Linked DNA regions of Mus musculus: regions 1, 2, 3, 4, 5 and 7 are each reported to be linked to region 6. Evidence: microRNA targets listed by miRTarBase, many of them from high-throughput screens and not tested one by one. Region 6 holds a microRNA gene; each other region holds the end of a gene's coding sequence.

Region 1 (3,087 bases), not on the chromosome of region 6:
CTGACAGAGGTAAGGGCAAGTAGACGGAAGGGGCAGGACCCACAGTGGAGGCTTGGAGCAGGGCTACATTTTTTTACTTCACTCCAGTTGACTCAAAGCAACTCATTTCCAAACATCAGAAGATGGGAGTCTATGCTGCTCGGGTCTCGTGCTGCCACCAGCAGCTCTTCTGGAGCAAAGGCCTGTAGTGATTGTTGATGGCTTGTCAACCTCTTCCCATCACAGGTAGGTAGTATGTGCCAAGCCCCAGCCTATGGGCCCAGACAAGTCCAACAGGGGGTTGGCAGGTTGGGGGAGCTGAGACAGGATATCAGCCTGCAGCTGGTCTCTGATCCTCTGCCAAAGATCCAACTAGTCCAGGCATCTCCAACGCCCGCTAACTAGACAGCACCTTAGTTCCTAAATAAGAAAAGAGGGCTTTTCTCTGCTCCCCTCAGTCAACCTGAAGCCAGAGGCCTGAAGCTGAGGCCTGTGTGGCCAGACTACCTGCCCTCTTCTCAAACGCTGGGAAGTGAATGGGTGGCTGGTGTGGATGGGCCTGGCTCACTCTCACAAGCACCTCTTGTCTGCTGTAGTTTCAGTCAGGATCCAGCTCATTTTCCATGGACCTAACTGGGCAAGGAAGAAGCAAAGGGGTCTTTCCTGCTACTCCTAGACTTGGGAGCCTGGCGGGCTCAGAGAGATGCTGCTTTCAGACCTGGGGGTAGAGCCTAGGTCTCTGTCCCTTCACTCAAGGACATGGATCAGATAAAGATTTCCACTGGGAGCATGCGTCTCGTAGAGTTATGTTCCCTATGGTATTGTCGGGGAGATGAGTAGAGAGCCTTTCAGAACCCCATTTTTCCAAGAAGAAAAGTCTACACTAGGCCACACAAGGCAAGCATAGTGATTCTAGCCCAGGAACACCCAGGAAGCATGTGAGTGAGTGGAATGGGAGTGAACTCTGACCTTGGGGCGGGCAGGCAGAGACCCCCTAGAGCTTCAGATTTCTCTCTTTAACGCAAGATGGACTTGAAGGCTACCTGGGCTCTTAGAGACATACGGACTCTCAAAGCATTTCCTCCCTGATGCAGCCAGCCTGCATCCTATACCCTCCTGGAGGCCAAGTATACAGGCAGTGAGGAGCCTCACTGGTCAGTCCCCCAAGGGGCCCCCGAGGCATAAGTAATGCTGGTGGCTGTAAGACAGAGCAGCACCAAGGGAAGGGCTAGGTGGGCACCAGCCTGCGTTCTAGCAAGGTCTGAGACCGTGGGAACGCCCTGACACTATGCACATTCCATTTTGGCTTCAAACAGGAGATGAGATCCCTGTACCAAGGAGACAGCAAGTCTGAGTAGGGAGGAGCGAGGAGGGGGCGGACCCGGCCCTGCAGGAAACTGGCACACCAGTCTAGAGATACAACACAGTAAAATGTCATCAGGATCAGTAGGCTCTGTGCTAAAAAACTGTCACTACACAGCGTTTTCTCCAGTTCTGACACCTTTTTAATAAAAATCACTGTTTTTAGGAAACAAATAGCACTTTTGTAATTTTTACAATGTTTCTTACCTTGATCTTAATTTAAGTAACACTAGGAAGACCTCAATATCTTTTATTTTCCTTTTTAATAAAAAAAAAGTTGTTTTCCCCAGGTACAAAGATTTTTTTTTTTGCCCTTGCATGAAAAAACAAAAAACAAAACCAGAAAACAAAACCAGAAAGTAAAAAACAAAACAAACAAACCAGAACAGTGCCTGACTGATGACACAGGACGCACACAGACTCACCGACCTCACTTGACACTATGACGCCTACTCTATCATGCAAGGTCTCCGCTACCCTCAACAGGACCGTCAGCCTGAAAAAACAGCTTTTCTATTTCTTATTTTAGTTCTTGTTAAAAAGAAAGAAAGAAAGAAAGAAAGAAAGAAAGAAAGGAAAAATAAACAACAAAACAAAACTTTGTTTAAACAAAACAAGAACAGAAACAAAATAAACTTGAAGAAGAGAAAAGGGTTGTCTCCATTCACACACACCTGGGTCGTGCTGCTCTGCTTAGAACCTTCTCTTCTTATAAATATAGAAAAGGGATGGAGCTTGTTTTCAAGTAAACCTCTGATCCGCCTTTCTCCCTCCGGACCCCTCGCACCCTCCCTTCCCTGCTTAACAAGGCCTAGAACCACCCGGGCTCTGCACTACACCAAGCAGAGGGGAGGGGCTGCTGGAGGCTGTGGGCGGGGCGAGCTAGGGAGGGGCGGGGCTCTCCTCTTGCACTTCGGCCCCTCCAGGAACGTTAAATACTGCTTATGTCATATACTTTCCCACCCTTGCCCCCTCCCAGCCCTTCCCGTCCCTCTTCTGGGCACTGGGTTAGTTAAATCTCTATTTCCTTTTTTATCTTTTTTTCTTTTTTTTTCGTTTTTTGGTTTTATGGTAGTGAAAAGTTTAGGAACAGGAAAGCCCACACACTCTTTGGACTTGTCTTTCTACCTAAACAAACGGCTCCCAGTAAGGATCTGAAACCTGCTCTCCTCCCTCCGCCCGTCCCTGCTCCCCACCCAACAAAACAAAAACGAACCCACCGTGGCTGTGGAGGCTGCTGCAGGCACACACTGGTGTATAATAGAGAGAGTAATATATTATGTCACTTGGCATGGTGCTGGCAAAGAACCTCCAGCTGGCACTATTTCATGTAACATGGTCCAGTCTTTGCATGTACACACAGAATAACAAGAATCAATTGGCAAACTCGGGTGCCACCTGGCACAAGCATCTTCTCTCTCTCTGGAACCAAAGAACCAAAAGAACTCTGTACTTTCCAGAAGAAATCCGGCTTTGCTCTTCTAGCGTCTCCTCGCCACCAGGACTGTGGCATGTCCGCCTCGAGGGCTCTGTTATTTAGTCTCTTCCCCCTGGTTACAGTTCGCTGTGCAGCTCTGCGAGGAGGGGGAAGGGGCGGGTGTGGAGGCGGCGTTGGCAGGGGGAGTGCAGTCTGGGCCATTGGAGAGGGCCCCCGCCGTGGCCTCTGAGTCCACAGGTCTGCAGAGGTCGACGCCATGCACAAGGCGGATGAGCCGCTTCACCTTGTCCAGGGAGCTGCGCATCTCC
Region 2 (3,096 bases), not on the chromosome of region 6:
ACAGCCCCTAACTGGGTGCACTAAGCAGTCACAATGGCTCACCCAAGCTGTGCTGGGTCTCTAGCCCCAGCTGTCCCCACTTGCCCATATATGAAGTAGCGTTGTCCAAATATCACCAGGATTAGGCAGCTGTGGTGGAAAGTGAGGTGCAGGGTCAAAGGTCACTGGGGAGCTCCTACCCTCCAGAAGACCCCCTCATTATCCATGACTAAGAGTAATGCTGACTTCTTTCCCCTGGTAGGTGACTGAGGAAGTCCACCGGCTGCTGAAGAGGTGCTCATACCAGTTTGTGTGCAGAGGCAAAGTCAGCGTGAAGGGCAAGGGAGAGATGCTAACGTACTTTCTAGAAGGCAGGACTGATGGAAACAGTTCCCACGGCAGGACCTTTCGCTTGGAACGAAGGATGTGTCCTTATGGGAGAGGCGGAGGCCAGGCCAGACGGCCCCCACTGTGTCCCGCGGCTGGACCCCCAGTCAGACCAGGGCTCCCTCCAGCCCCCACTAGCCAGTACCTGTCATCCACAGCAGCAGGGAAGGAAGCCTAGTGGAGCCCATGGGCCACTGGAGATGCATGCAAGGCAAGAATGCTCCAGGGTGTCACAAGCCACCATGGCTCTAGCCAGGACCAGACAGAGGAGCCAAGTGGCTGGGCTGGAGGAGAAGCATTGTCTGAGTGTGGCCTGAGGCCAATGGGAAATGTGCCCAAGCCACCCCTTGGGGCACACTGAGCTCTGTCTCTTCCTAATGACCTGGTTATGCCTGGCTAGTGTTGCCATAGGTGGCGGGACCTTGGGAGTATCTTCCATGGTCACAGCAAAAGCTATGGAGGTCAAGCTGGCAGAGGAGCCCACCATGACTGAGCCCCAAGTCAACTGGCTTATGGGTGGCTCCAGCCCTGGTAAGCCCTGGCTTATGGGTGGCTCTAGCCCTGGTAGGTCCTGGCTTATGGGTGGCTCCAGCCCTGGTAAGCCCTGGCTTATGGATGGCTCTAGCCCTGGTAGGTCCTGGCTTATGGGTAACTCCAAGCCTGGGTAGCAGTTTCAAGTATGAGTGCCAGACTGGGAAGTTGGCCCCGCTGGGCAGGGCCATGACAGTTGAGCTGTTCATACCATGGGCACAGCAAAGAGCTGGTCAGGTCTTGGTCAGGGCAGTATGGGAAGAATTGAAAAGACACCTCTTACTGCATGAAGAGCGGGGTTGCTGGCTTTCCCCAAGAGTAGGCTCTTGCTAACAGCCAGAGGCAGGTCTTCTGGAATTCTCGGGAGGCCCTACAGCCCCACTTCTGATCTCCTGGCCCGTACATTCTCTTCCAACCCCTCCTGGCTGCTGGCTTCTGACTGCTGCGACAGTGGGCCCTCCTCTTCCTGTGCCATGGCTGCACATTCAGAGAGGAGGGGTGTGTGCTGTCTTCTCTGTGGTGTCTTGGACGCTGTAAGTCTAACAAGAATCAAGCCTTCGTTTATGCTAAGAGCGATTGACCCACTATACCCACGAGTGCTCTCCTTGCTGGAAGACATCCTCTCCTTGGCCTAACCAGCTCTCCTCTTGGTGGTTTCAGAGTCGGCACAGTGTGCATTCCTGAGTCTAGGTGTGGTGTCCCTGCTCCAGGGTGATGGGAAAGAGTGGCCCTGTTGACTGACACCTGGGACCTCCCACCTGTGTGTCCCAGTAACTGCAACTGTGAGGAAATCCCGTTAGGGTACAGGATTCTGGAGGAGTTGGTAGGAAGCAACTGGCTGGAAATAGCGGGATGAAGCCTGGCTTTTGAAGATACTCAGTTTCAATACAGGAAGGGAGGCAGCTTGAAGCAGGGCAGGTGGGCATAAGCCCTGCCTGATCTTGTCTGTGGAGGCCCATTTCCTCACGGCTCCCCAAGAGCTTGCCCCCTTCCAAGGGTCCTATCTTCTTAGAATAGGGCAGAGCAAAGCCTAGTTTTCCCCGGCAGGGTGCATATGTGGTGTTCTGGATTCAGCTCTGGTTCAAGTGTGTGGCTTTGTTGGTGCCTGGGTAATTTTCCAGGTCAGCCAGCGCCCGTTCCTGGGACACTCAGCTGAGTCTAGACTCAGGTTACCTGTGGGTAGGAAGAAAACTTTCAGCAAGGGAGAGCTGGAGGCTGCATGCCAAGTCTCCAAGTCTTTGAGGCTGCACCTCAGGTGCCCTAGGGCCGGGTGGGGCAGCTGTGAAGATTGCACATTCTCTGTGGCCAGGGATGGAGCTTGTGGGTGGTGGTAAGGGTATCATCTAGCACCTTCTGCAGAGGAACTCTGACCCATGCCCACCCTGCTTTGTTGCCTTTCTGATGATATCAGGTAGCACGGCCTGGGCATTGTCGGCTGCCTTTCTGTCAGCCCACTGTGGCTAGAACCCAGAGCCAGGGCCAGACTGACTTCAGCACTCCACTGCAGCCTTCAGGGTTGGAGAGCAGGTAGCTTCATCGTCCTCCGGTGGTCATGTCTGGTTCCTGAGGCGTGGTATTTTGTTGTAACAGTGTTGGGGGAGAATGCTGGCTCCCAGAGAGTTGAGGGCAGCAGGACAGGCTTTTGGTTTCTCCCATGGCCCTGAAGACCATCTTAAGATTGCACTTATAAGAAAGATTCAGGTTGTTGGGGCGCTCTGAGAAGGGGCAGATTCCTCTGAGCCAGAACCTAGGTAGGCATGCGAGCACTCTTTCTTTGTGGCTCCTGCCTCCTGCCCGTCCCCAGGTGTTCCTATCCTTGGGACAAATGGCTTTTCCTCATGGGGCTCTTTTGCACTAGGAATTTCTCACCTCGTCTGTCTGTCTTGCAGTCAGCTCAGCCAGGAGCACCCAGAGCAAGTGAGTATATGGTGACTTTGGCTGAGGGCTGTGGCACTGTCCCTGGCCTTCCAGGCCACTGAGGAGGGTAGAGAACCTCTCACACAGCCTGGAGTTCCTCAGAGTGGCTTCTAGGCACCCAGAACTAGTGCCTCTCTGGCTGATCAGATGAGGGACAGAAGAGTGGTTCTCAAAGATGCCCACATGACAGCCCCAGGTCCTGTGTGTCCTTTGCCACAGTGGAGGACCTTGACAAGGGGACTTAGGGTAGGTAGGCCTGAAGGATTGAGAAAGGATTGAGAA
Region 3 (3,096 bases), not on the chromosome of region 6:
TCCCTCCAGCTGTTCTTGCAACTTCTCTTTTCTCTTACGCTGTTTCACAACAATGATAGAAAATTCAGCTTAGCAAGGTGTGAGGCAAAGTATGTGGCAAGGCCTTTGTAAATGTCCTGGCAGTTTACTGTGAATGTGGAGTATGCTGGGACTGCTCACCATTCCAATCTCACCCACAAGCAATGAATGAGATTGGGTCCTGAGCTAGCGTCAGGAGAGGAGGAGTAACCAGCTGTTGTGTCTCTCCAGGACTCGACAAGGAGAACGTTGAACTCTCCCCCACCGCTGGCCACTGTAACAGTGGACGGACTCGCCATGGATCCGCAAGCCAAGTGCAGAAGCAAAGAAGTGCTGGCAGTTTCAAACGTAATAGCATTAAGAAGATCGTGTGAAGCGTTCTTTGTTTCACTCTTCAAACCAACCTAACATGGCTTCTCACTAGTGACCCCTCACCTTGCACTGCTGCACTTCGTGTCTTATGATCCCATCTGGTCGCCGTGTCGCCAGACGGTCATCTCTTGGAGCATTGCCTAAGTTTAATGCTGCTTTTCTTTGATGTTTTTCCTTCTACTTTGGCATGTGTCTGGTTGAGCACTTGTTCTGAGGACAGCAGAGACAGCAGGCGGTCAGGAGGCCTGACTGAGAGCGTGGACCGTGGGTGTGGATGAACCCTGCAGTGCTGCCGCTGCCGCAAGCCACGGGCCGTACGCGGAGGACGGCCTTCTGTGTTCCCGTCTTGCAGAGTGAAGGGGTCGTCTTAGTTACACACTTATAAGTTTGGGGGAGAAATCATATTTTAACCCCAGTGTATTTAATCTTCTAGCTGTGGACTTTTTTTTTTTTTTTTTTTTACCTTATGTAGTTGAAGGAACCACAGAGGCCAAGCCTCAATAAAGCCACAGGCCAGGGACTGAGGGAGGGGCAAACTAATATTTTGTAACGAATTCTTAAGAAATACTAACATTTGAGTCTTAGCAATAAGTACAGGAAAATAAGCGTGACACACACATCTTAACATTGCTGAATTAAAGCTATTGGTTCTGAGGCCTTATACATACTTGGTCATCCAACCTGGGTAATTTTTTTCCAGTTGATTATCTTTTAATTTTTACATATGAAGGTGTTCTGTTCTTTTTTTTTTTTTTTAAGCCAAGACTATACTAAGTATAGAAACTACACTTGTGTTTGCACTTGCTTTCTCCTCTTTCCTAAGTGATTCTAAGCAGGGTAATTTGCAGACAGAGTGGTGAGACTCGTTTCCACAAGGTAATTTTCATAGCTCTTTCCATTGGCTCCGTAGCAAAATGGAATGGTACGTGACATAGGGTAGGTGATATTTTTATTTTGTTAAATAATTTTCCAAGAAACAGAATATGCTGTATATTATCATAAATTTCTTTGATAAGATGTATTTTTAAAATCTTTTAATCTTACTCCTCTCCTCCAAATAAAATCAGGAATCTCTAGCAAAACATTTGGATTCTATCTGATAGGATTGCATTTAGTCACTGTGAAGTCTGGCCGGCCTGTGTGGTATGGACACAGGACCTCTAGGATCGCTGCTGTGCAGAGTGGCTGGACCAGTGGGACTCAGGCCCTTCCAAGGGATGCACACCCAGCTGCTTCATGGTACCCGCAGGATGCAAGACAGTTTGACTTTAGTGAGCACAGTAGTACATGGATGCTCTCAGTTAAGATTGAACTATATTTATTTTTAAAAGGTATTATCCCTCTACTTCCAGGTTCCCTTCATGTATTAAGACATAATGGCTTTGGGAGGGACCAAAAGAAACCCAGTAGGGTGTGGACAGGTCCTGTAGTGCTGGCTCACTAGTGGATTTCAGTAAGTTAAACTCCACAGCTAAGTCAATAAATAATGGTACATTTAAGTATTCTGACTTTAATAATATAACACGTTTCACACTTATCCATACAGTAACAATGTAATATGTTAATGTAAATAAAATTGCTTTTGATATTCAGAAATAACAATTTAATTTTTTTAATTTGTTTACAGCCCTGGGAAAAGTAAGAACCATTTGCCAAAATAAAAGGAAACCCCTTAGTGTTAGTAGTGATTTTAACATAGAATCACTGGAGACTACTGGAGACAGATGCAGCAAACTGAGCTCTTGTAAAGGCTGCCTTAGAATAACTGTCAGAGCAGATAACCAAGGCTGGGAGGCTGAGATGCCAGCTGAGTTTAGCCGCAGGAGGCCCGTGGCTTAGCTGCCAGGCCCGGCTCCCCACCGCAGTACTGCTGGGGTGCACCCCGCTCTGGCTCCTGCAACCGTGGGCAGCACAGACTGAGGCTGCTGTAACTCTAGTTGCTTGGCTTTTTTAAAGTCATTGAGTTCCATTACTGGCCCATTACTGTTTTGCTTCCCCCATCAAAACAGGACAACTTATAAATGTGCACTCTTCCTGTAGCGGGTTTCCCCATAGTTCTTAAACTGCCCCACTTGAGCTCCTATGGAAAGATCAAACGGAGCCACTTCTGACCAGTACATCCCAGGAAACTGGGGCAGCATTCCAGTTTTATCTAATAGACAGAACTTCCAGCTTTTGAGGAAAGTCTATCTTTGCAAGCAACTGAACCTACAGAGCTTAAAGTATCACTAGCTGCCCCTCCCCCAAAGGAGACTCTAATTACAGGAGCAGCTGAAGGTCTGAGTAATGTCCCATTTTACACAATTTGGTGTGAGTTCTGTGATTCATTTTCAATTTGTGTTTCCCTGACTTAAAAGAAAACAAAAAAACACTAACGGCTGTGTTTGTGCGTTTGGCTGGTACTCCTCCCCTGGGCTCCCATGCCCTCACTGTGGGGACACTGCACTCTGCTGGACAGTTACTCTTGCCTGCATAGTGCTGAGGCCGGAGCCTGGACAGTGCAGACTGCCACAGCCCCAGTGGGGGGACTCGCCCCAGCAACCACTTCCTTGGGGGGTTTAAGGTTGCAAGTTTCCTCTGGGAGATCTGGCTTTTGTTTTCCAGGTTTGGAGGAGTTTCCCCCCCCCCCTTTTTTTTTCTACATTACTCCCCAAGCATATTGAAGCATGTCTTATTCAATGTTATGCAATGGACTTCCACAAAAAT
Region 4 (3,000 bases), not on the chromosome of region 6:
GAGGATTAACACAGGAGAATATAGTCAAGTGTTTAGGAGTATTTCACCTTTGGTTGTGAACTCTTTAGAGGGAAGATAGCTCTAGGAAACACTTCTGTCCAAGGCTGCAATTCTCCAGCAGAAACAAGCTACTTGGCACAACACATGCTGGAGGCACAGATGGGTGTCTGGCTTCTTTACACTGAGTGTTGAAGATAATACTAGAATCCCGGTTCCCTATTTCTATATATAACCAGGAAAAGTACTAAGAAGAAAACAAGGATGTTTTGGTAATAGTTAACAGAAAACCAATACTCCATGAACTTTTAAGAGAAAAAAATTACAAAGAGCATTAAAACCAGCAGGACACTTTTTCCCTTCATTTTTTGCATTACAAGGCATTAACTCTCAGACTGTATCCTCGGTCCTTTTATTTTTTATCTTGAGTCAGGGTCTCACTAAGTTCCCAAACAGGCCTTGAACATACAGTACCCCTGTATCAGTCTGGGACTGTGTACTTTTTTGTCACCAGGCCAGACTTCTTAGGACTAATCTCATTATTATGGTTTATATTATATAGGACTAAATATCATTGTTATGGTTGCCCAAAGGCTAAGATTTTGCTTTAAAAAATATGGTCACTGCAATGTACATGCCCACTACTCCTGACTACTCAGTGGGTGGTCCTTTCCTCTAGTTGCCAGTCAAGATCCTCAGGAGCTCTGGCTACTTCTGTGCTATTTTCATCTGCCCTAATTACTACTAGCCTTGGTTGCCTGAAGGACAGATCTGCTCTCTAACCATCCTTCATTTCATCAAGTTAAGTACAGACATCGGTCACTTATCCAGCATTTGATATTGCCTCTAACATCTTCAGACAACTACGGACTACAGAGAGAAAAAGCTCACCCATGTGAGGTATGGGTTAGGTGCTATTCTCCCACCACATTACCATTCACAAGTTGTTCCTGGCTGACTTAAGTAAGGCAAAGCTTCACTGTCTGTCTACCATGTCACTGCAGTACAAGCTGCCTTCTCAACGGTGCAGTATAATTGTTGGCATAATTTATTCAAGAACACAGAACTCAAGTAGCAGCTGAGCAGGAAAGCAGTGTTAACAAATGCTGTGAATGGGTCTAGGGTTTGCATATTATCTGGCTCATCTGTGGACTGAAGCACTCCATCCATTCCTCTCATTACTATCAACAACCCGGTGGCTAGATGCTCTGGCCCAGACAGCTTTGCTTTAAAAAAATCAAACGCAACAACAAAAGCAGCTCAGTAGCTGACGAAGTCTGGAATTAAGGCTACTTCAGCGTTTATTCTTTTTCCTCAGCGTTGGAGCTGGGACAAGACTGCTCAGCTCCAAACTCTGTTATTTCCTTACTTTTAGTCCTGATTCTCCAGCTTCCTCAACTATACAAGAAGAAAGAAATGAAGAGAAGATGGGCATTTTTCAGGGGACAAAAAGTAGAATAGGAGCAGAAATAATAGCAAAGCAAGAGTAAACCAAAAAGGAAGTAGTTTGTTGTGAGAGAAGGTTGTGTCAAAAAGTTAATATCAAGACCTGTCGGTTTCTGAGGCCATAATCTTCTATGTTTTTAAAATAAGCTACAACTAAAAATCCTCAGACTCAAGTGGAGAGGACAGGAACATTAATCCTCTGAGGACTTGGTGGCAAATCCACAAGCCATGAGGCAGTAAATTAAAGAGCATCACTGCTGCAAGGACGTAAAAGCCAGTGACACTGTGGCTAGTGGCTCCTCTCCAAAAATTCCCAACTTAAAATAATGGCACGGAAGGGAATGGCATGGATCTGCTGATGCCTCTTTGGTACAGGAATGCTTTGGGAGGCCATAAAAATTGGCAGGGTTAGAGGGTGCCCAGCACCTTGGCACAAGCAAGCACCAGGCAATCACTCACACCTACATAAATACAGTCTAAATATGAGGGATAAAGGAAAGAATACACACACACCACGTGATAACTGTATCCAGCCCCATCCTATTATCTTCCTGCACTACAGCTTACAGACTCCACAGTTAATCTTGTCATTTAATAACAAATTGATACCACTTTACAGAAGCAGAATCAGGGATTGAAAGTAACAAGGCCAAGAAAGTGTGAGGGCTAAACAGAGCGCCTTGACAGATTTAAATGTGAAGTTTCAAGCCCTAAGAGAACTGAATTGTTATGGGAGGGTATGTGAGGATAGTCAGGAGCGGCCCAAGACCACACCAGGGACCCTGTATTCTCCTGGCAGAGCTAAATGAGATCGGAAAAGACACAACAGGTAGGTTGCCCTTAATAGTTTTCTAAATAGATGGACAATATCCTTTCTATGCCAGTATGTCAAAACAAAGGCCAGCTGGTCATCAATATAATCTAATAACAATCAAGAAACTGAAGTCATCGTCATAATAAAATCTCCCAAAGCAACCAACCCCAAAGATCATGACTCTAAGGTGATTAAAAAGTTACAGGGGAACAGAAGGAAAAGATCAGGGTGAAAGAGAACACTATGGGAACCACACAGCATGTGAATGACGTAATGCCTGACGTTCACAGAGCTACACTTAGGAATCAGATCATCAGTTATATTACAGGAGAACCAATACCAGCATCTCCCCCGTGGAGCACAGTGATGAGCGCAGTGGTTTATGGATGCGTTTAGGATGGAAAGGGGTGGGAGGAGAGAGAGGAGGCAGGAAAGTAAAGGTATTATATACAAAGAGAAACGACAGAGACTGCCTCCTCCTTTAGCTCTTCGCGCTTTCTTTTTCTTTGTTTTCCGCATCCTCTGGATATGCGTGCCACGTCAGTCTCTCTTCATAAAATGCTATCACAATCTGTGGACACTTCACGTTAGCTTCTTTTGCAAGAACCAGGTCAGCTTCATCTGTGTCTTTCCTGGAAAGAAAGGGTGTAAGACTTAGGAGACATGAAACTGAGGCAATCTGTCAGTGTCACTGTCTGAGGTTAGCTGGTTCGATCTCAAAGTAGAAAGGGTCTTTACAGGGC
Region 5 (3,096 bases), not on the chromosome of region 6:
TCAAAGTCATCGTCGACCTGGGCACCTCCCAAAAAAAGATGTTCAGGTCAAGTCCTCCAGTCAGCGTGGTCAGAAAGGTTCTACCTACAGCTGGCACAACAAGTTCGTGGAGGTGGCAGACATTGAAGAACAAGGGAAGCCTCAAAGCCTGTGCTTGCTATAATTTCCCTGCAAAATATGACCACTATTTAGAGCGAGCAGTCTGCAAACGGGAAAGCTGTCAATTTGAATATTGTACAAAGTGTCTGTGTGCTTACCATAACAACAAAGACTGTTTGAATGGCAAGATCCTAAAAGCCAACTGTAAAGTGGGTCCTTTGCCTGTAACTAAAAAGAACTTACTAAGATCGTGACCTTTTAGAAGATCAACTGTAGATCTTGGCTACTTAAAACAAAAACCAAAAAACCCTCAAACTTTAAGAAAGTAAAAATAATTATGATGCCTTTTGTGAATAGAGGAACTAATTGTTCATAAAAGTGCCAAGATTGACTTATGAAAAACAAACAGGATGTCTATCTTAGATACTAAGATAGAATTGATTGGAGTTTTGGCAAGGGAGGGCTGTGGTCTGTTTGATGGATCTGAGAGCACTTGCTTCAGTGTCAGTATCTGAGATTTGCTTTACCAAATTTGTGTCATGCTTCTATCAACTTGACTCTGTCCATTTAAACGTCTGTCAATACGAGTTTTTTATATCTGTAAATATCTGTTTTCACGTGCCGAATAAAACAAGTACACATAATTTTGTTTACTTACAATAAAATTGTTAGAGGCTTAAAAAAAAGAAGTTAAATGGAGCTCATATTTATCTTACGGAACTAGCAATTTTCTTCCTTTAACCATAATCTACAAAATATAGTATTTTCATCAAGGCCTGAGATTATTAGGGTTAAAGGTGTCTGCTGCTGAAAAGATTGTTTTAAAAGGTTCCCCTATGAAAATGGCAAAAGTCAACTGAGTCCTCTTCTCCATGACAGTCTCTATAACACTGACTGCGTACCTTCAGAAGAGAGTATTACTGCAAACTTTGGTGGAAAGGAGACATCAAGGTGACAAAATAGCACACAGAATACACACATCCACACATCCATGTGCACGTGTATGCACACTCACGCACAGCATTTTGTAAAAATTAACACGGTATCATCACTTTATCAGCTCATCCTTCTACTCGTTGACTCCTTAGAGGAGTCAAAGGAAACCGCAGGTATGACCTATGGAAAACTGAAGAGTAACTGTAGGCAGCGGTTCCCGACTCTAAAAACCAACCAAACCAAACATTGTGCCACACACGTTAGGTGGAGATGGGAGAACTCTAGGCTCTAACTGAACTGAGAGCAACGGAACACCAATACAAAAGCGTCCCTTTACTTTTGCACAGGCTGTGCTGCAAAAAAATAAAGTCTGAAGTCGGGCTCTCCAGGTGGCAACAGGAATCTCTATGGCTCTCTTCTATGCACTTTGTGGAGAACTTCTGTCAAGTCTGCAAGTTCAAGGCTATTTACTCGGGGTTCTGCTCCACTCCATGCGTTCTACGTCTTAACAAAATTATTCATGATAGTGTTATCTGAGGCTTAAATGAGACAGCTTTAAGCTATTGCTCTCGAAAGTCAACAAGAAATCTGCTTGCTTATGCTGCACTGGTTCTGAGACATACACATTCTCTCTACATGAATACAACTCATTTACCAAATACTTGAGGAAAACAGTAACCAAAATGTTTCACTTTGTAACCAGAAAATTACAATTTCCTAAAATGAAGCTAAACATAAATATGTCTTTAGATAAAAATAGTAGCAATTATGACCCCAATGGCCAATATAAAGAAAAATCCTTATTTATTTCTGCAAAACGCCACTTGCTTTGAAATGAACTCCAGCCATCCCTGCATTTAAATTTCGTCACACGCAATGGGGAATGTTTATGTAGGCTACTACTGAGGCTTTATTTGCAACACTGTAACAGTCAGTCACTGAGCAACACAACTTGTTTTTTCTTTTTTCTTTTTCTTTTTTTTTAAAAAAAAAAGCCACATTTACACATGTTGAAACAGTGAATGCAACAGTTGTTCTACTGGTAACCACATGACAAAAGTGATGTCACACACCACAAATTTGCTGGTTCTCCTCATGTTCCCTATACCCAGGATTAGCATCTCCTAGGGATCAATGCACTTCTTATTCTAGTGTGGAATGGAATGAAGAAAAGGAAATGCATAAAACAAGGAAAGGCAAAAGAGTGATGTTCCCTCTTTAGCTTTGTAGCTGTGAAATATTTAATATCCCAATATGACATACATTCCAAGTTACCTGAGTTTAGACTTCAACTGAAGTACCTGAAGCTAGGCCATAGGGTGGGCACTGTGCAACTGTTGTGGCCATTTTTTTTTTTTTTTTGCATTGTATGTATTATAGAAGTTAGAAACAAACACCTGGATCAATTGTAAACATAATCCTGAAGTACAGTATTTTCCATAGGACAAAACACAGCAAGACATTTTCTACTTAGACAGGCAACTTTTTGAAATAGAGCTTATTCATACTGAAAATGTTGGAACAAAACACAGGACACAGTACTAATCTGTCAGACATACTATGAAATGCATAGTCTCCATTAAATGCTGAATGACACACACATTTTTGCAAGCATTACTGCTTTCCACAAAAACTGCTGAATATAAGTCGGTCCCTGCCAAGATCAGTGTTAATAGCTATTTTGTGATGCTAAGTACTTTGCTGTTGGTGATGTTGGGAAAGTTTGTCACTCCATGCAGATAGATGTCTGAGATCTCATTCCCAATCCATGGACCATGGGTGGAGACCAGCTCCCCCTCTGCTTTAGATCATCACATAGTTCTGAGTGGAGACGTGTTCCTCCACCTGCAAGTCCTGTAGGAGCTGCTGCTGCTGAGATGGCTGCTGGGCAGAGGGCTCCAGGGAGTCGGCTGTGCTGGTGTCATCAGAGAGAGATGTGAAGGAAACCCGGGAGGAAAGCTGCTCTACGGTCAGTGTTGCCAGAGCCGAGCTCTGGCCAGAATTAGGGGAGTTCTTGAGCATCAGGTCAGAGGCAGGTAAGAGAGGGCCTAGAAGTTTTAC
Region 6 (3,096 bases):
TAGACCTGTGGATTTTTAGCAGTGTGTGTACTTTGCTGCAGACATCTTCTGAAGATGGTCTTTGTCCCTAAACAATGGTATTTTTCCATGCAGGGTAAGCCAGTAAGTCATCCCTAGATAGAGATGCATCCCTCCGACAATTCTGAGCAAAATTGGGGTAACAATATGGGTCTTGTTATTTAGGTCACTGGTTAGTGGGTGAAAAGTTAAAGAATGAAAGTAGGTATCTCCAGAACCAAGGGAGAGTATGGAATTTCTCCAGAACCAAGGGAGAGTATGGAATTTCTCTAAAGAAGCTTGCCAAAATATATGTTATGAAATGTTAGACTCTGGAGAGAGGGATTGGAGATGCTTCATTTTATAGTTCTATATTAGAAGTTCACCCCAGTGCAATGATAGAATATTAAAGGCTCAGAAAATTCTGTTTAAAAAGACACGTGTAAACCAATAATTCAAAAAATTTTTCCCTCTGAGTCTATTCTTTCTTCTTGCCCTCCTGCCCCAGACCTAAATCTTATTTCTCAGAGGAAAAAAAAATCCATTTTGGTTACCATCTTGTATACACTATAGCATTAGAATACCCACAGTTTGATTTATTTTTTTCGCAAAACCCTGGTTGGTATTTGACCTATATAGCAAAAGGTTATTGACTAGTAAAACATCAATTAATTGGTAAATATTTATTAATAATTAAAATGTTGGACAATGGTATGAGAGACAGCAATCAACTGAATATAATAAGCTCTAGATTCTTACAATATAATAGGGAATTCAAGAACATACCCTGGAAAAATTCACTGACAACTTTAGAAGATGTGTTGGATGGTAGGACATATAATAGCACATACCAGTATGTGGTTAGCCAAGGAGTAAAGAAAAGTATAGGTTAACTTTCAATAGTGCCAAGAGGAATTGGAATTTGGTAGTGTCTGAAAGCCCAATGAAGATAAACAAGAAGGTTCTTTTAAGAATGATAAAAGCAAAGTGGAAAAGAGAAAATGTAGGTAGCTTAAGATGTGCTCCGAAGGCCAGACAGTGGATATTTATTTCCTACTTTCTCATAGAATTCATGATGCTTGTATGAAAATTCTGCTATTCTGGCTGCAAGAAGAGGAAAGTGAAAGAAGACATTAATAATAAATCAAATAATACTCTCATTCCCTGTATCCCTCATGTACCACTATGCAGTCCATGGCATTTTCACAATGTACACAGATGCATACCAGACTTGTAGACCCCAGAGCTGCATCGTTCCTACTCTGATGTTCTCTGAATAAATGTTATAGTTCCCTTAAAGACATAGAATAACACCAGAGAGCTTCATGTTTCATAAGCATTCATATGTAGGCAGCAGGCTATGTGCTCTGTCCTGGACCTGGAGCTGATAGGCATGAGCCACACTTGGGGTATTTGACAAACTGACACTCTACCACACAGAGTGTCCAACTCAGCTTGTCAAATACACGGAGCGTGACACTGCAGATGGCCAGATCAGGAACCTCCACTGGGCAGCAAGAACATGCTGGAAGATGTGCAACTGGAAAGAGAAAAAAATAGGGTGATTATATCTTACCCTAAGTGTGAGACAAATGGCAGACACTAACATGACTGACTAAGACACACCAAAAGAGGGAAGTGAACAAAACACGCTAATGCTCCAAACAAAAACGGGGATCCTGGGTGTTTGTCTGGAGATTCTGGTGGCCCAAGCCTCAATTAACTCTTCTATTCAGCTGAAACAGGAAAAAATTGTCATCATTCTGTCCTCGGGGACAATTTATGTGTTCCTTCCTCCTATCAACTTCTTGTATGCTCTGTTTACCCTGGTTATGTACCTAGATGTTGATTTTTAAAACTGGATTTGAATTCTACCTCTACCATTAACTAGCTGAACACCTTAAATAAATGAGTTTATGTCCCTGAAACCTACTTCTTCCATAGCCACAAAAATGCCCATGAAATCATGGCAAGAATATGTAATAATGCATATAAAGCCATTAATTTAGTGTTTGTTACCTAACAAATACTCAAAAATTGTGGCTATAGCCAGGTATGATAGTACATGTGTGCATACAAGCTTTCATAGACAGAGATAGGAGAACCTCAGATTTAAAGTCAATTTGGGCTATATAATACTACCCTTTCTCAAACAAAAAAGTAAACAATCAAGATCTAGAGATAAAACTCAGTAGCAGAACACTTACCTAACTTGTACAATACTCTGTATTTGATCCCCTGTACATAAATAAAAGTGACTAAAATGTGCTTTAAAATTAAACATATAAGATAGATACTAACAGGGGAAAAGATAGATAATTTATTTAACAGAATTGAAACAGTAATTTCTTGTGGCCTTAGCCGGCTTTGTCTAACTTGGTTGCCTTTTCTCATAAGCAGTAAAGAATTAATGATATTAAAATGCCCTTATAAGTCATCTAGTTTTACCCATTCAAGATTATAAATGAGAAAATGAAGTCTGATGTTTAGGGAAAGACTTCCAAAAGGTCATAAAACAAGTTGTTTACAGTTTGGGAATTATATCATCCATCAGCTCATTGTGTCCCTTGGCTGTCCACCCCACCACTTTTTCTTGTCTGCTTTTTATATTCCCTTGCAAAAGGGAGAGCAACAGCAACAAAGAGCAAAACAGGCAGTGGATTTTGCAGGGAAGTATTAAGATGTTTGAACTCATAGCTACCAGGGCAGCTGCCAGAAGAGCCAAGCCATCTCAATTTATTTGATATTTTGTTTAGCATCATGATCCTGTTATTCAAAATGCTTGATAGTATCAAATTTTGTCCTACCCAGGTTTAAAGTTTTCTTGGGCATCAATTGTCTTCTCTAGAAATAGAGACAGAAATCTTACATCTCAAGGTCTTGAAAAATGTTGGATGAGACTTCTAGAGCTTTTTAGAAGGGAGCTTAAAGAGACCTTATTTCCAACTCTGGAGCTAGTAAAAGCCAAGGAAAGTGATTAAAAGAGAAAGGAGTAATGGGTTATTGGTTTTGGTTTTCTTGACAGCATCTCTGCTTATCATCTGCTGTAAGGAGAGCTAGACACTTTAGAGATATCCATAGCCTCTCAATTGCCCTATC
Region 7 (3,096 bases), not on the chromosome of region 6:
ACAAAGGAAAGGAACACCTTAGAGACCTCTTGCCTGTCTTCAAGCTCCTGCACTTACCTGTGACTTCCATGACTACCTACGAGGCACTTCCTCAGGCCAGGGAGCAAGCTCTTCTTCCTTCTGGCTCGGGCAGGCCATGCTTATGGAATTAGGTTTACCACCTGCATTAAAGATGCCAGCCAGCGGTGCTAAAGCACTTTCTTAAGAGAAAATGTCACCAAAAAAACCCAAAAAAAAACAAAAAAAAAACCAAAAACCCATCCCCCACTGCCTAACCCACTGCCTTCTCTGTATTCTTTGTCTACTGTGATGGCCAAGGTGTGCTAGAAATGTAAGGGGATTTTAAAAATAAAACCCTCAGTCTCATGAGAAACATATACTTTACAAATGTTATGACAAAATCAAATATATCCAAATGGTTTATCTTGTGGCCAGTTTTAACCAAGATATCAAGAGAAGATAATCAACTTTCAAAATTAGTATCAAAACAGGACACTTCTATCTATCCACATGTACAGAGGTATAAATCTTTGTTCTTTTCAAAGCTGAGCACAGTGAAGTTAAATGAGATGCTTGTTTACATATTAACACCTGAAACCACAGGACTGGCTGAGTTCTGCCCTCTGACACGTAAGCTGTCAGCATGATATCAGGGCTGCTCCACGGTATTTAGACCTAATTAATACTGTTAATGACAGTTATGAGAGTTTCATATATTAAATATCTTCTTACTCAGCAATAATTTTGTTTTTAATGTACAAGTACACAGGTATGATAATATTTTTGAGGCTTAGTCTAAAAGGGTTAAAAACCAACAAAAGAAAAAATCCCTCATATTTATAAATGTGGTAAAGTTTCATGCTGTCTTATGCCATGTCAGTAACTGACTATATGATGCCAACCTTAACAATGGAGTAAATGCTTTAAACATCCAATGAAGAATAAACTTCAGCCAACACCTTGGCCACACCAGAATTGCTACTATGCGCTGAACTGATGTAACAATGATCCAAGCAACTATGCAGATGATTCAAATTAAAAGCTAAAAAGCTGTAGATCTGGGGTAGGTGGGGGACTTTACAGAGTATTTGTCTTTGACAAAACTACAAAGAGTTGAGTCTTTAAGAGGATTTAGTATATAGGAGAAAAATTCTCATCATGATTTGAAAAAGTATGAGAGCATATGAACAGGCCGCAGCACTGGTTGAGGGCTAGTTCTCTTGGAGCAGGTGGGAAAGCATTAATGCTGAAGGAACACTGGGAGCCTTACAGCACAGATCTCATACACAAAGCCTCACACAGTAACACTCATTACAGCCAATGGCTTTAGCCATTAAGGGTCTTACAAAGATTTTTCAGTTTCCTCAATGCTTGTATGTGGACTTCTATTTCTTACCAAAATCTTTAAGAAATTTTAAAGTCTGATACTAAAACTAGTTAAACCTTTTCTTGACTATCCTAAATCTTGACAGTTTGGGTTAACCTTCAAGTTTTCAGGGCACAAAAGGTTGATATAGTCCACCAGGAATATGTTAAAACAGAGTAATTTTGTCTATGACAGAAATACTTCAATTTTTAACTAAATTTTAAAAAGCAAATATTTTTAACAAACATAAAAAGTGTTTTAGGTCAAATTCTAGTACAAATAATGTAATTTGCCAAATTTTCAATCAAATTTTTTAAGTCATTCAGAAAAAATGATTTCTTAACTATTACACAAGGCATATTATGCAATGGAAGAAGATGTAAGAAAACCTTTGTAGACACTAATCTGTAAATTGGGAAATTATTACTGTTCATTGAAAACGATGCCTTATGTTTATTCTTAAATTCATTTTAACTGTTTGTCATGTAATTTAATACCTAAAAAGGTTGCAGCTAAATTAATTACTACTATTTATAGGATGTTACCTCTTTGGGTAGATATATTTCACACCATGATTTTCAATTAAAAATTACCTGATCATTTTAATCACCATTTATGAATGACCGATTAGTAGCTGAATTGGCATAAGGATCCACAGAAGGAAAGTCTGACCATTGCTTATCGTGTAATTCTACCCAGGCACACCAGGCCAGGAGTCTGGCAGACGCTCTACCCACTTGCGTTATATATTTCCACCTGAATTACTGAGCAACAAAAACAGGTATACAATGCCAGGCTTTCTCCTGTTTCATTTTTAAGGAGCAGCTTAACAATTGTTGGTTGGGGTTGGCTTGTTAGGACAACATAGAGAACAGAGGGTAAACTAAACAATGACACTTAACACCAAAGGTGGTACTCAGTTAGATCAGGAGAACAACAAGTTACCATTAACCTGTGTTATTTGCTTTGCTTTAGAGCACAAATCAAAGCCATTAACCTGAACTTGAGGTATATACACAATACATATTCAACTTGAAGCAAAATACTTTCCATAATATTACATTTTTAAAAACTGGAAACAGTATCTGTGCTGATTTGTATTTGATTCAATGTGAAGGGAACATTCAACTTGGGGCAGGGTGGGAGAGTCACGCTGAAACAAAGTTCTAAAGTTCAAATGTCTTCCTCTCCCTTTGTACTCGCCAAGCTCTGCCATGTCCTGAGAGGATTCATCATGAGAAAATACCAGTCACAGGCTTGGAAGGAATGAGAGCGCAAACGGGTGGTGACATTTCATCTTTGTTTTCAAATAAGTGGTCTTAATTTTCTTCTTATAGAAAACTCTTAAGTCAGTTTATTATAAATATATCTAAACCATTTTTTTGCAGCTTTCAGGAAAAGTCCAGCACTTTCTTTATACAGAGTCTGTGAGGAGGGGTCAGAAGAGATCATCTGATCTTCAGCCGTGACATCATCCATTCAAGTCCTTGGCATAACCTAAGAAGACGACAGAAATCATGTGATTCTATTAGGGACTAAAAAGTCACAGACTATCCACTGTAGGCACAGTCTTCAATAACCCAAAGGATAAAATAGGAGAGAAGGAGAGATCCCTGCAGGCACCGGAGAGCCAAAGGCTTTTGGTTCAGTTTTACCTTAAAGCTTAGATCAGTGCCTAACACACGCAGGGCACTCACATGACTAATGCCCAGAGAAAGCAAGTTTTTGTA

Evidence for each region. Region 6 holds the annotated microRNA mmu-miR-223-3p (UGUCAGUUUGUCAAAUACCCCA, at 1,403-1,424, opposite strand). A microRNA usually pairs through its seed, bases 2 to 8, with sites in the 3' UTR of a target mRNA and lowers its output. Matches are read on the target gene's strand: a 7mer-m8 pairs with bases 2 to 8, a 7mer-A1 pairs with bases 2 to 7 and ends in A, and an 8mer does both.
Region 1: miRTarBase lists Phf21a as a target of mmu-miR-223-3p. The part of its 3' UTR that is shown has no 7-base or 8-base seed match.
Region 2: the mRNA of Adcy1 is a reported target of mmu-miR-223-3p. Seed matches in the 3' UTR shown: 7mer-A1 at 1,634-1,640.
Region 3: miRTarBase lists Nf1 as a target of mmu-miR-223-3p. The part of its 3' UTR that is shown has no 7-base or 8-base seed match.
Region 4: the mRNA of Cbx5 is a reported target of mmu-miR-223-3p. The part of its 3' UTR that is shown has no 7-base or 8-base seed match.
Region 5: miRTarBase lists Glcci1 as a target of mmu-miR-223-3p. Seed matches in the 3' UTR shown: 7mer-A1 at 602-608.
Region 7: miRTarBase lists Arl5a as a target of mmu-miR-223-3p. Seed matches in the 3' UTR shown: 7mer-m8 at 2,715-2,721 and 7mer-A1 at 875-881.

What each region holds. Positions count from the first base shown.
Region 1 is chr2:92,360,210-92,363,296 of GRCm38, reverse strand. Phf21a (PHD finger protein 21A) reads right to left here. Exons shown (of 19, transcript NM_001362829.1): 19 at 1-3,087. The coding sequence ends at 2,874. Among named protein-coding and RNA genes, the nearest start is that of Large2, 9.3 kb to the left of the region's middle.
Region 2 is chr11:7,169,172-7,172,267 of GRCm38, forward strand. It overlaps Adcy1 (adenylate cyclase 1), which reads left to right. Exons shown (of 20, transcript NM_009622.2): 20 at 242-3,096. The coding sequence ends at 544. Among named protein-coding and RNA genes, the nearest start is that of Ccdc201, 18 kb to the right of the region's middle.
Region 3 is chr11:79,578,005-79,581,100 of GRCm38, forward strand. It overlaps Nf1 (neurofibromin 1), which reads left to right. Exons shown (of 58, transcript NM_010897.2): 58 at 250-3,096. The coding sequence ends at 392. Among named protein-coding and RNA genes, the nearest start is that of Rab11fip4, 12 kb to the right of the region's middle.
Region 4 is chr15:103,196,903-103,199,902 of GRCm38, forward strand. Cbx5 (chromobox 5) reads right to left here. Exons shown (of 5, transcript NM_001076789.2): 5 at 1-2,889. The coding sequence ends at 2,739. Among named protein-coding and RNA genes, the nearest start is that of Smug1, 35 kb to the left of the region's middle.
Region 5 is chr6:8,592,995-8,596,090 of GRCm38, reverse strand. It overlaps Glcci1 (glucocorticoid induced transcript 1), which reads right to left. Exons shown (of 8, transcript NM_133236.3): 8 at 1-3,096. The coding sequence ends at 2,839. It also overlaps the pseudogene Gm16042. Among named protein-coding and RNA genes, the nearest start is that of Gm35621, 29 kb to the left of the region's middle.
Region 6 is chrX:96,241,212-96,244,307 of GRCm38, reverse strand. It overlaps Mir223 (microRNA 223), which reads right to left and starts at 1,491; the gene lies at 1,382-1,491. It overlaps F630028O10Rik (RIKEN cDNA F630028O10 gene), which reads right to left. Exons shown (of 3, transcript NR_030718.1): 3 at 666-3,096.
Region 7 is chr2:52,399,570-52,402,665 of GRCm38, forward strand. Arl5a (ADP-ribosylation factor-like 5A) reads right to left here. Exons shown (of 6, transcript NM_182994.2): 6 at 1-2,863. The coding sequence ends at 2,815. Among named protein-coding and RNA genes, the nearest start is that of Gm13522, 23 kb to the left of the region's middle.